3 linked regions of the Mytilus edulis genome follow. The protein of the gene in region 3 purifies or fractionates together with the protein of the main gene of each other region. This does not show direct contact. Links are inferred from orthologs where the notes say so. Each region holds a gene or a part of one and is shown on either strand. Other genes may lie near its edges.

What was found.
Region 1: the proteins of centrosomal protein 43-like (region 3) and centrosome-associated protein 350-like purify together in Homo sapiens (affinity purification with mass spectrometry; 6 studies listed by BioGRID and IntAct, counting the BioPlex papers as one, with this or other methods). This does not show direct contact. The link is inferred for Mytilus edulis from reciprocal best matches to the Homo sapiens genes CEP43 and CEP350.
Region 2: the proteins of centrosomal protein 43-like (region 3) and serine/threonine-protein phosphatase 2A regulatory subunit B'' subunit gamma-like purify together in Homo sapiens (affinity purification with mass spectrometry; 3 studies listed by BioGRID and IntAct, counting the BioPlex papers as one, with this or other methods). This does not show direct contact. The link is inferred for Mytilus edulis from reciprocal best matches to the Homo sapiens genes CEP43 and PPP2R3C.

Annotation. Positions count from the first base shown.
Region 1 is NC_092345.1:30,840,234-30,843,996, reverse strand, and holds the start of centrosome-associated protein 350-like, read left to right. Parts: upstream 1-1,420; 5' UTR 1,421-1,604; intron 1,605-3,763. UniProt on the Homo sapiens protein: Plays an essential role in centriole growth by stabilizing a procentriolar seed composed of at least, SASS6 and CPAP. Required for anchoring microtubules to the centrosomes and for the integrity of the microtubule network.
Region 2 is NC_092346.1:60,300,396-60,304,158, forward strand, and holds the start of serine/threonine-protein phosphatase 2A regulatory subunit B'' subunit gamma-like, read left to right. Parts: upstream 1-914; 5' UTR 915-1,026; coding exon 1,027-1,105; intron 1,106-3,763. UniProt on the Homo sapiens protein: May regulate MCM3AP phosphorylation through phosphatase recruitment. May act as a negative regulator of ABCB1 expression and function through the dephosphorylation of ABCB1 by TFPI2/PPP2R3C complex.
Region 3 is NC_092353.1:13,363,917-13,367,679, forward strand, and holds the start of centrosomal protein 43-like, read left to right. Parts: upstream 1-1,528; 5' UTR 1,529-1,604; coding exon 1,605-1,685; intron 1,686-3,224; coding exon 3,225-3,278; intron 3,279-3,763. UniProt on the Homo sapiens protein: Required for anchoring microtubules to the centrosomes. Required for ciliation.

The sequences.
Region 1 (3,763 bases), on a different chromosome or scaffold from region 3:
TTGTCTAATTTGCAATCATACCACATCTTCTTTTTTTTTTTTTTTTATATTAACCTCCAGTGGCATTCATTAAGAATAAGAATACTTATTTTTCCAATTAAGGACCCTTGATTGGCATCATGACATTTATATAATAATATAGAATTGATCGCCAGTGCTTGTTGGTATACGGGAGGTAACTCGATAATTTATTTTTTTCAAATAAAAATGATAATAACATTCGAGTTATAAATTAAGTTGCGTCCAAAGAGCTCTTCTGGTTTTACCTGCAACAACTTGGGGCCAGGACAAAAATTTGTTTTGCCCTCCCCTTTTTTTTTGTAAAACCGTTATTTTTTCGTTTTCTATTAATTTCAACAGAGACATGTATTTATATGTCTCTGATTTCAATTATTTTCCGCGTTTTTCTGTATCATAATGTATATACTACACACTGTACAAATATAAACTGGTATAATATTTGCTATTTACTATCAATAAAGTTTGCATTGTTGGGAGTAATTAGCAAATAAATGTTATTTTAAGTATATAAATTTTCTTATTATATAGAAAAACGAGAAAATAATTGAATGTAAGAAAAAACGGAAAAAATAACGGATTATGGAAAAAGGGGGAAAAGCATAAAATTGTCCTGTCCCGTCAAGCACCTATAGCTATGACATATGCACTTGTTTCTATCCACCGGAACTGAGGTCGATTATCCATATATATCTTTATGAGAAGGTCGACTAATCATATATAGTTGGCCTATCCATGGATAGAAACAATGAATCTCAAGTGTCTGTGCCCACATGGACTAGGTTGGCAGATCCAGGGACTAGTAAATGATTTTGATTACTGAAAAACGAATGATCGATATGGATAGTTAGAAAGAAAAAAAATATATAGATGCCCGCGAAAAGCGTTGATAATGTATTATTAATAGACAGTATTATTAATAGACAGGAAGTACGAAAAAAAGACTTGAAAAACATTGACCATAATTTTACAAAATTTGAAAGTGCTCATGATAAACCGGCCGCGATCGAGTCCCGGCTGCGGCCAACAAGTATATTGGATTCGTGATCACTGGGTGTTCATGCCGAAGTACTGCTTATTTCAGTTTCGGAAGCAGAAAGGGGGTAGGAGAAAGGAGAGGAAGGCTGGGAGAAAGGAGAAAAAGTTGGAGAAAAAAAATTAAATATGAAAAAATAAAATATCTCTTTTTTCCGGTAAATTAAAAAAATAAAATAAGGAGAAGAGGGGTAGGAGAAAGGAGAAGAGGGGTGGGAGAAGGGAGAAGGGTACCCCCTGTCCTCCCCCTCAGTTATGATAGATCTAAGAACTGTTTTTAAAATAGTGTAACCACGTCTTTGATAAATATTAGCTGTCTTGAGCAAAGCGAATAAACAGAGAATTATTGTGGAAACCAGTAGGTACCAGTTTACCCGTCATCCAATAAATGTTACAAAATGGCGGCGAATTTTGGAGTACGTCGAGGCATGTTTGCTTAGCCAGTGTTTACATTGCGAAGGGATGACAGAAAAACATGCAATCAGAAAGAACAGACATTTATAATAGACAACACAATAATTTCTAATATTTTCATATTATAACTTTCATAAGTAAGTGTACATAAAACAGAAACATTTGCAGGTTACTGTGTAACGAAGGCCCAACAAAAATATTATGAGATGTTTTGCATTTAGCTAACTCGGCAACATTATGTTTGAAATGATTTTGTAGATTATCTTGACCGGTAAATAACGGAAAACACAGCTTTTATGTATCACAAAGTTTCAAATGCATTTGTAAGTCTACTAAGATAATCATATAAATATTGTGTTAATTTGATATTAATTTTGGTAACCCCCCTTAAAGCGAAATGGTAACAACAAGATTGACAATGCTCTGTTCCACATTCTGTTCTATCAGACATTTATTAGTTGTGTTTATGCCTCAAAAATTTAAAAAAAATGTGTATTGCAACGAAAACCAGATAATTAAAAAAGGACATGTACATGTATTAAAGAACAGATTGTTTATAACACTTTTTTCTCACAGCTATTTTGATTTAATGGTACTGAAACTTTGTAATTGAGATATGTCTGGGACTGAGCTTACGTGTGAAGTGACGGTCATAAAAATAACCGGTAATTTTGGTAGAAAACTTTAATTTTTCCAATTGTGATTGTGGCAGTGTTTTTTCTTTTACTCTTAGCCCAACCTTAAACATTCTGAAAAACCCACTTCTGTCCTACATTTTATTGTGATAGCAATGAATAGTCCTGACCTTTACATTATCCTTGATAATATAGATTCAATGGTGGATTTCGTCATTCTTTTCACAGCAAGTGTTGCCATGGAGTGTGACTTTCATTTCATATTATCATGCATTCATAGCCACACAGAACTTTTTTAATGGTAATATAAAAAAGAAGATGTGGTATGATTGCCAATGAGACAGCTATCCACAAAAGACCATAATGACACAGACATCAACAACTACAGGTCACCGTACGGCCTTCAACAATGAGCAAAGCCCACACCGCACAGTCAGCTATAATAGGCCCTGATAATGTAGGTTATAATATAGAAATAAGGAGATGTGGCATGATTGCAAATGAGACAACTGTCCACCCCAGTTCAAATAAAGTGGATGTAAGCAATTATATAGGGAACCAAACATGTGAAGCCTGCAACAATGAGAAAAACTCATTCCATGTACATTGTACATGTAGTTAGTAAGGCAACAACATGAAAAATATGAAACAGTTCAATTGAGAAACTACTGGCTTCCTTTATAATAAAACAATTTACGAAAAACAAAGAAGACAGATATGACCAGAGAAGAAAGAGATTATTGTCTACTTTAAAGGGCGGGAAATTGTTTCACATCAATGACACTTATATTAAATGAGAAACAAATCTTATTTTAATAAAGGATCCTAAATGTACAAATGTACATAATAGAAACCAAGTTGGTGGATTTGAAATGTAAAACTGTTATATAAGGATAATCTGAAGGTCCAGATTACCAATATGCTGTGCAAGTACATTATGGTGGTGCATAACACGTACAGGGAGATAATTCTGTAAAAATAACATTTTAATCACATACATGTACAAATGTATGCATTGTATTGTTAAAGGAAGGAAACATTAAGTTTCTCAATGATCAAAATTAGTGTTTTATCAAACTTCTATTTATATCCAATTAAAATTTTCCAATAATTGAATAAAGTGCATTGTTCCAGTGTTTTTTTGTTTTTTTTTATTTGTCACTGGTTAGGGTCAAACAAAATTTGGTGTAAATACATGTACATATGTACTTATTGAAAATATATTTATTTATGTTTGATTTCAATTTCCAGGTTTGAATTTCCTATTTATTATTTATAAGGCGGGAAAATATATGGGGATTTCCTTGTTTTCCTTGTTGAGCTTTGATAGATCTATAGACCCTTAAAAATATATTTAAGAGTTCATTTTTCTCCATCAAGACACACAAAAGATTTTGATTTGATAACAGTATATACAATGTATATTGATTCTTTAATTAAACCCCAAAGGATTTTTTTTATTTAAATAGACAGGAAAAAGTGATACAAAGTAAATTAAACAATTGGAGTTATCCCTCTTTGTACAGATTATCTCCTTCCATGCATTCAACTATTTTATAAAATTTCTGTACAGTTTCATATTTATTTTTTAATTATTTTTTTTAAGCTTGGAAGTGGTCCTAGGTTCTTGCAGCAGATTGTATTCTATAAGATGAGTTTTT
Region 2 (3,763 bases), on a different chromosome or scaffold from region 3:
TCGGCATAACACTCCCCATAATACAATGGTTTTGGAGTGCATGTTAACGCGGGTACGCCAACTACTACGTCTATCTGTACGGCATGGATTGGTTTCTGTCATCTTAAGTAGTAAGTCGTTGATATCTAACTGTAAACCCTCATCGAAGATAGCGGGTAAAGGAGAGCTGGCCCAGCACGTCCGTTCAGCTGTAATGACTGAGACGTGACTGATGTGATTGAATGAATGAGGATTTAACAAAATTGATTTCAAATTATTTATATAAAATATATAAGTTTTCCAAAGAAGGTACCCAAAGAAATTTGCAACGATGCAAATATTAAACTTTACAATATAAATAAATATGTTTAACCAATGAATTAAAATAGCAAAAGCTATGTTATTCAACAAATATATCCTTAATAAGCTTCATGTAAATTAATTAACAATGAAATACATAAAATATGAAATTTAGAGTTTTACCAAAGGGAGCTAAAAATAAACTAATAACACTGTCTGCTACAATATCTTATAAACTATATAACGAGATATTTCATAAACTATATAAGATATCTCATAAACTATATAAGTTATCTTATAATGTTTCAATTGCGGTATTATCTGTGGATGTGTACCACATCTATGTCCAAAATTAGAAATGATTTTAAAATAATACAGTATTTTTTGTGGAGATTAAATTATTTAATATTTATTAATTACAACAATAATCATGGTATTCTGTAAATAACAGACAGGCACTTTCAACATAATTTTTATTATTATATACATATTCTTTTCCTAAAAAGAACACTTATTATTGAAAAGTTCAGGTTAATACAAGTTTAAATCAATTATAAACTTTAAATAGTTTGCATGTCGAGACAAGAAATGAATTATTCCCCTTTTCAATAAAGGTGTCGCATGAGACAGAACAGCCAATCAGCTCATCTGTTATGAAAATGGAGAGGGAAGATGGAACATGTTTGGAGATATTATGAACAATTTGTTGGTATTTCGCCCCATGCATCCATGTATTGCTGATAAAACATGACCAAAACACCAACAAATAAAAGGAAAAGCATGGAGTGGTGCAACATTTTAAAAAAATATGTTGAAAGAAATAAAAGTGAGATATTTGCAAGAAAACACACCGGTGGTCAGTGGTATCCGGTCGTTCCGGCCCCAAACCGATCCGGCCCCAAGTCAATCCGGCCCAAAGTCGATCCGGCCCAAGTCGATCCGGCCCACGTCGATCCGGCCCCAAGTCGATCCGGCCCCATAATAAAATAAGAAATAAATATATTGATCTTGGAGGAATTTGTGACACAGTATAAATGGAATTTGCAAAAAGTGTCCAATGATGGATGACAACAGGTATTATCATCGTGTAATGTGTTTTCGTACTAATAACAATTTTCACTGCTTACGGTTTTTACTGTTGAGTTTTTATTTAGGTGTTTACTCAGATTTAAAAAGCATGTCCTGTAGATTGATTTTAGGTATCTAGTTTTTTTGTCAATGATTTCTACGATTTTTTACTGTTTCCGATTACTTTGCGATTTTTGTATGTCAAAAAAAACGGCGTCATATGTTTTCGTATGAAATAAAAATTGGATCAGTACACGGACAGGAAATGACTACAAAATCCGGAAATAAATTTTTTCTAAAGTCGTGGTTCTGGTGATCGCTTGAATCATAAAAAAAGTTATTAAATACTTTTCAGTACTAAAAATTACTAGTAAATAGTGTAAGGTTGGTGTTTCGTGTAATGAAATTTTTAGATTTTGATTAATTTTCAGATTGGCACCTGGTTTGTACAAAATACATTATTTTTTCTAAAATAAAATGCAGTTTTCAAAATTTATGATTAAATATAAAAAGTTAAGACTGTTTTCATCTTCATGTATCAAGGATGTATAAAAAAAAATTGTCAATGAAATATTGAATAGTTGGATTTTGAACAACCATTTTATATAAGAACCCTGCTAATTTTAACTCGATGGTTTATAATTAAAACGGCCAAAAAAACACATGACAGTCATATGTCTTGAAGATCCGGTGTCTGACTTGCAAAAAACATATCTGGACTTTATTTTAATCCTTCAGAATTTTTTTCCACAACTATTCTAGTGATGCGTATTTTTGACATTAAATAAAAATGGCTAAATAGGTCAGTTTTATTTAATTTGTTCTAACGGCTTTAAAAAGCGACGTTGAATATGTTTTAAATATATCAAGTTGTAGTGGTGTTGTTGTTCTAAATATAGAAACAGAAAAACATGCCACAATGTACGCGTATGCAGTCGAAACCGACGAAATGTGGTTGATACGAAAACATATGACATACGAAAACATATGACACGACGATAAGTGAAGTATTGGAGTACCAGTTAAAGAACTATTTTAAATCGATACGAAAATGATTGTTATTGTGTCGTTGGTTGTATGGCAGCTTCAACATATTTTAAAATATGAAGTTATTTTCCATGATAACTTTAACTTTAACTCATGGCGATTTCATTTTCTTTTTTTTTTCATACACAGAATATCTAAATAAATATTTAGTCCACTGGAACCTATTAAATTTAACTCATCATAATGACTTGATTAATCAAATCATTAGTCTATAATTGGTTTGTTTATTCAACAATTGTCTGATGATTGTGAACTAAGGTGATGCCACTTGTAATCACTTAATTAAATCAAATCCTGATTAATTGATCTTCTGGTTAAGGTTGGTGTATATAATAATTATAAATTGTATTTTTTTCAGGTAACATCACAGGCTTCTATTTACTTGTTTGTTTTTTTCATAATATCAACGAGGTCTTTATAGATTGATATTTTGTTTGGTGTATATAATAATAACCTATAATGGTTTACTTTTATAAACTGTTATTTGGATGGAGAGTTTTCTCATTGGCAATCACACCACATCTTCCTATATCGATATATTTTTCATAAATTTGACAGTATTTTGAATAGTTGTGTGTAGAAAAAACACAAGTTATATGAGTATCCATTATTCTTTATTGCAAGAAAATAACAAAACAATGACACTGAATGCACGTTTTCACACTCTAAAATATAATATCAGCACTACTAAAATATAACAATAACATCATACATACTAACTATCTCTGACACTCACATAAATATACATAACCTTTTAATAAATCATTTACACTAACAGTTTTACACTGTCACTTACTTAAAGGAATTGTTTTAATATAATTATACCCAATAATCTTGAAAACTTGTAATAAAAACATAATCAACCTAGTTGTTTTATACTCATCTGAAGAATTTTTTTTAATTTTTTTTTACCGTACACCTTTAACATTATAATAAAAATCATAAACATTTATGAATTACTTTAATATATATCTTTATTTTTATTCCTTATAAATATATTTTTTTATTGGGGCCGGATCGACTTTACATTTGGGCCGGATCGACGTGGGGCCGGATCGACGTGGGACGGATCGACTTGGGCCGGATCGACGTGGGGCCGGATCGACGCGAAAGCGTGGTCAGTGGTGGACTTGATAAAACTTGAACAATAAACGTCTTAAGCTGAAATGTCAATGATTTTATTTGAAAATATTACATATATATCTATTTTGGGTTGAAGGACAATAACACTTTGTAAATTGTGAACTCAAAAACGTTATAATTCACCTGTAGATCAGTTGCGGATCCAGAACTTTTCATAAGGGGGGGCCCTCTGGTTGACCTAAGGGGGGCCCGCTCCAGTCATGCTTCAGTGATTCCCTATATCATC
Region 3 (3,763 bases):
CAGCTTTCTTTTAAATCTGAAATAATCAGAACTTTTAGCACTTGTAATTATAATATATATCTAGATTCAGATGTACAATAACAATGTCAACATATCAATATAACTAAATTTTTTAAATCCTAAAGATTTTCATGAGTCATTTTCATTTTCTGATTAGTGAAACATGAAAGCAAGTTTTTATGATTTTAATTTGATTTTAGATCGCATACATGTCAGCAGTCTGCACGGTTAGCCACTAGTCCGATGCCCCAGACTAGTCAAATTTGGTTCGGACTAGTAAGTTTTTGCAAAACTTTGTTTGGCCCAATAAGAAAAATGTTAGAATATTAGTCTTCGGACTAGTAGTTTAAAAAGTTTTTGGTGCAGACTGATATTTATTGTCATGCATGTGAAGCAAACTTTTCCAGATATATTTTTCTGTAATATTTATGTCCAACTTACGTCAGAAAATTAAAATAAGCCTGAATATTATCGTTGCTAAAAAAAACATGAAAAATTTCTACATACAACATCACAGTAACCAAATTGCAGTTGAAATCTTGCATGTCTTTGATCAAAATGTTATCAAAAAGTAATCAGGAAGTGAAAAGTAACTGATTAACGTTAAAAAAATTGACTGATCACAATGATTTCATGAAATAATGAAATCAATTACAGCTGATTATGATAACATTTACCTAAAGCCTGCATGCAAGTCATAAAAAAAGGGGATTCCAACCATATGTCCACATAATTCATTTTTCAACAAAAAGGGGGGGGGTAAATAAATTAGCTCGATTAATACTGGTTTACTGTAATATGCATTTAAAATTATCAATTTTTAAAATAAAGATGAATAAATAACAGATATTGAACTAAAAAAACTGCACCGTAGAAGTTATATTATTGGCATCATCATAAAAAATTGCTAATCACACTCACAGCATCCAAAACGACAAAAGCAGAGCTGAATGACATTAAAATCTAAATTAAGATGTAACGATTAATTGTATTGTAATAATAATAGGCAAACAAAATCAAAAAGGATAAAGTATTAAATTTTAACAGACACTACTTTAAAATTATGATAAAGATGTTAAAGTTTGTAGGTTCTTTGTCGTAAATTATCCCTTAAAAATACTGAATTTCATTTTACCTGAATACTGATATCTTCGTTAATACTGTTTCAATAAGATTTCTTTACTGCAATTGGTTTCTGGTACAATATAGCCAATTCTTGTTTTCTTCTCTATGCGTGTATTGTGAAACTGCTTTTTAAAAATTCCGGGTAATATAAAATGTCATTTTGCCGTTTCGTTTTGATTGGATGATAGAAAATAAAGATAATTTTCATTGGTTGTAGCCACTAGCAACAAAACAAGCCGAAAGTATATTTTCAAGACTTTTCTCTATCCATATGGAAAGTCTAGAGTGTTTCGAAACAAGCACCTGTTCTACGGAAATATGTTTTTTCCAATGAAAAGCTGTTCAAAAGATATTTTTTTAAAGAAATATTAGAAGTGCAGATTTTTTTTTATTATTAAAGCTTCATTAATAAAACATTGTTTTAGTAAATATTGTCCGACTTCCGTTCATGCGCTAGATACCTATTTCCCAAAACAATCATGTCGGCAGACGAAGACACCGAGCTTCGTGATCTTGTAGCTCAAACTTTAGAGACAAATGGAGTTTTAGGAAAAATCAGGGTATTTAAAACCATACAAAATATTGAAAGTTATTGGTGGCTAAGCTAACATGACGCACATATATTCATAACGCCATTCTATTTGAATTTTAAGACGTTGCTGATGACGCTTTTGCATCCATGATGCATGTACTGACAAGAAGTTGGCAAAGTTACCACGGAATGTAGAAATATTTGTGACATGTTTACAAATATTAGCAATGCATGAGCGTCATAAATATTTATTTTACGTCGTATTTGTCCGAAATCTTGATTTATATTGTATTTATCATAATTGGTTAAACTATAAATCTGTAAAAAAAAAATATAAACTTTTGGTTCAAATTATCTCCCCTTAAATTAGAAGCAAATACATGTACTATGCATGACACAGTGATTATCGCATTTTAAGGGGATTACAATAAATCCCTTTCAGTTAAAGTTGTTAGACATAGTCTGCAAAAATATTGATAACAAAAAAATTCCCCAGGTATTTATATTTTTTAATACACACCTTGTCGCTATTTGTTAGCCATTTCTGGACATCTCACAGGTTCCCAGAAAATTTTGACATCATAATAAAAAATATCTGACGCCACAATGGAAAAGTGTTTGTTTGTATGACGTCATTAGTTCTAACGGTGCAGATTCTCTGGTCAGCCGGGAATAGCAATAAGGTGTCTTCTTACTTGTACAGGTCTACTCAAAAGACAAATTATTTATTAGAAAACATTGAATGTATGTTATTTAAAATAAAAAAATAAAAATTATGTATACAAGTTGGAAGTTTTTCCTTTAACTTGGACCAGTACATGCTACTCGAAGATACACCCCTATGAAAAATTATATGAACAACAGTACACAACATAAAAAACACTTGATTAGCCTGTATAAGTGGGTTTTTTTTAACAGTGCTTGTCTTAAACCAATATTGTCACATGCTTTGGATTTTGGAAACCTACATTGAAAAACTGTAAACATCAAAAGTGATCAGTAACTATACAATTATAAAAGATCGACAGGAATGATATTATGGCCATGAATTATTTTCTAGTCTATTACATTTATATGTTGGAAAGTGGCAGGGGCGGATGCAGGAATTTTCGAAAGGGGGGGTGCTAACCCAGGCCCTGGAGGGCATAGGGGGGGTGCAAAACATATGTCCCGATACAAATGCATTGATCGGCAAAAATAAAGGGGGGGTGTGCACCCCCGGAACCCCCCCCCCCCCCCCCCCTGGATCCGCCACTGAGTGGCCATTGACATTGATTAAGATCATGGTGCACATAGATCCAGATGATTGACAAAGGCTCTTTAGAATCTCCAGTTTAATTTGGCCTTAGCCAACAGCACTATTCTTTTCTTTGACTGAAATAGAAAATTAAAAAAACCTTTATAATTCACTGATTTGTATCAACCTGCTGAATTTACATCATTTTAGTTTAAAAGATTTTGAATACATGTAAATTAATATAGATATGATGACATGGACAATGATGGATGAGAGGCATATTAAACTTTTCCAAAAAACAACGCTTAATTTCTTAAAAATTATTTTCAGGCACAGCTGAGGGCCAGTGTATTCCTAGCTTTAGAAGAACAAGAGTCTTCACAGGTATGATTTTTGTATGCCATAATGAACAAAAGTCCTTAAATAAATGAACCTGTCAAAAATAGGATCATTTGCTATAAGTCTGATAAAAAGAGATACATGATTTACATACCGGTGAACCAATACATGTTTGGTGTAAATATATCACTTTCTATTAGCTTAAATTACTCTTTGCTTTACCTTTGATATAACCCTTTTAAGAAATTGTTTAGAATCAATCATTGCTTTCTACATTGTTGTACACTATGACTTGATCAGAATTTCAACATACTCATCTCAATGTATAGTTATTGCATTTAATGGTTTTCAATTGGATCAAGATTTTGCTTTTAATGTGATAGGATTATTAACTCTTTTTGTTGATGTGGATTGGCACTCGGTTGATAGACAATTAAGATTCAAGTAGATACACAATATCAATATTCACAGTCTAGAGATCACTGTAGACCAACTATCAAATTAAAAAAAAACCTTTAATATAGGCCAAT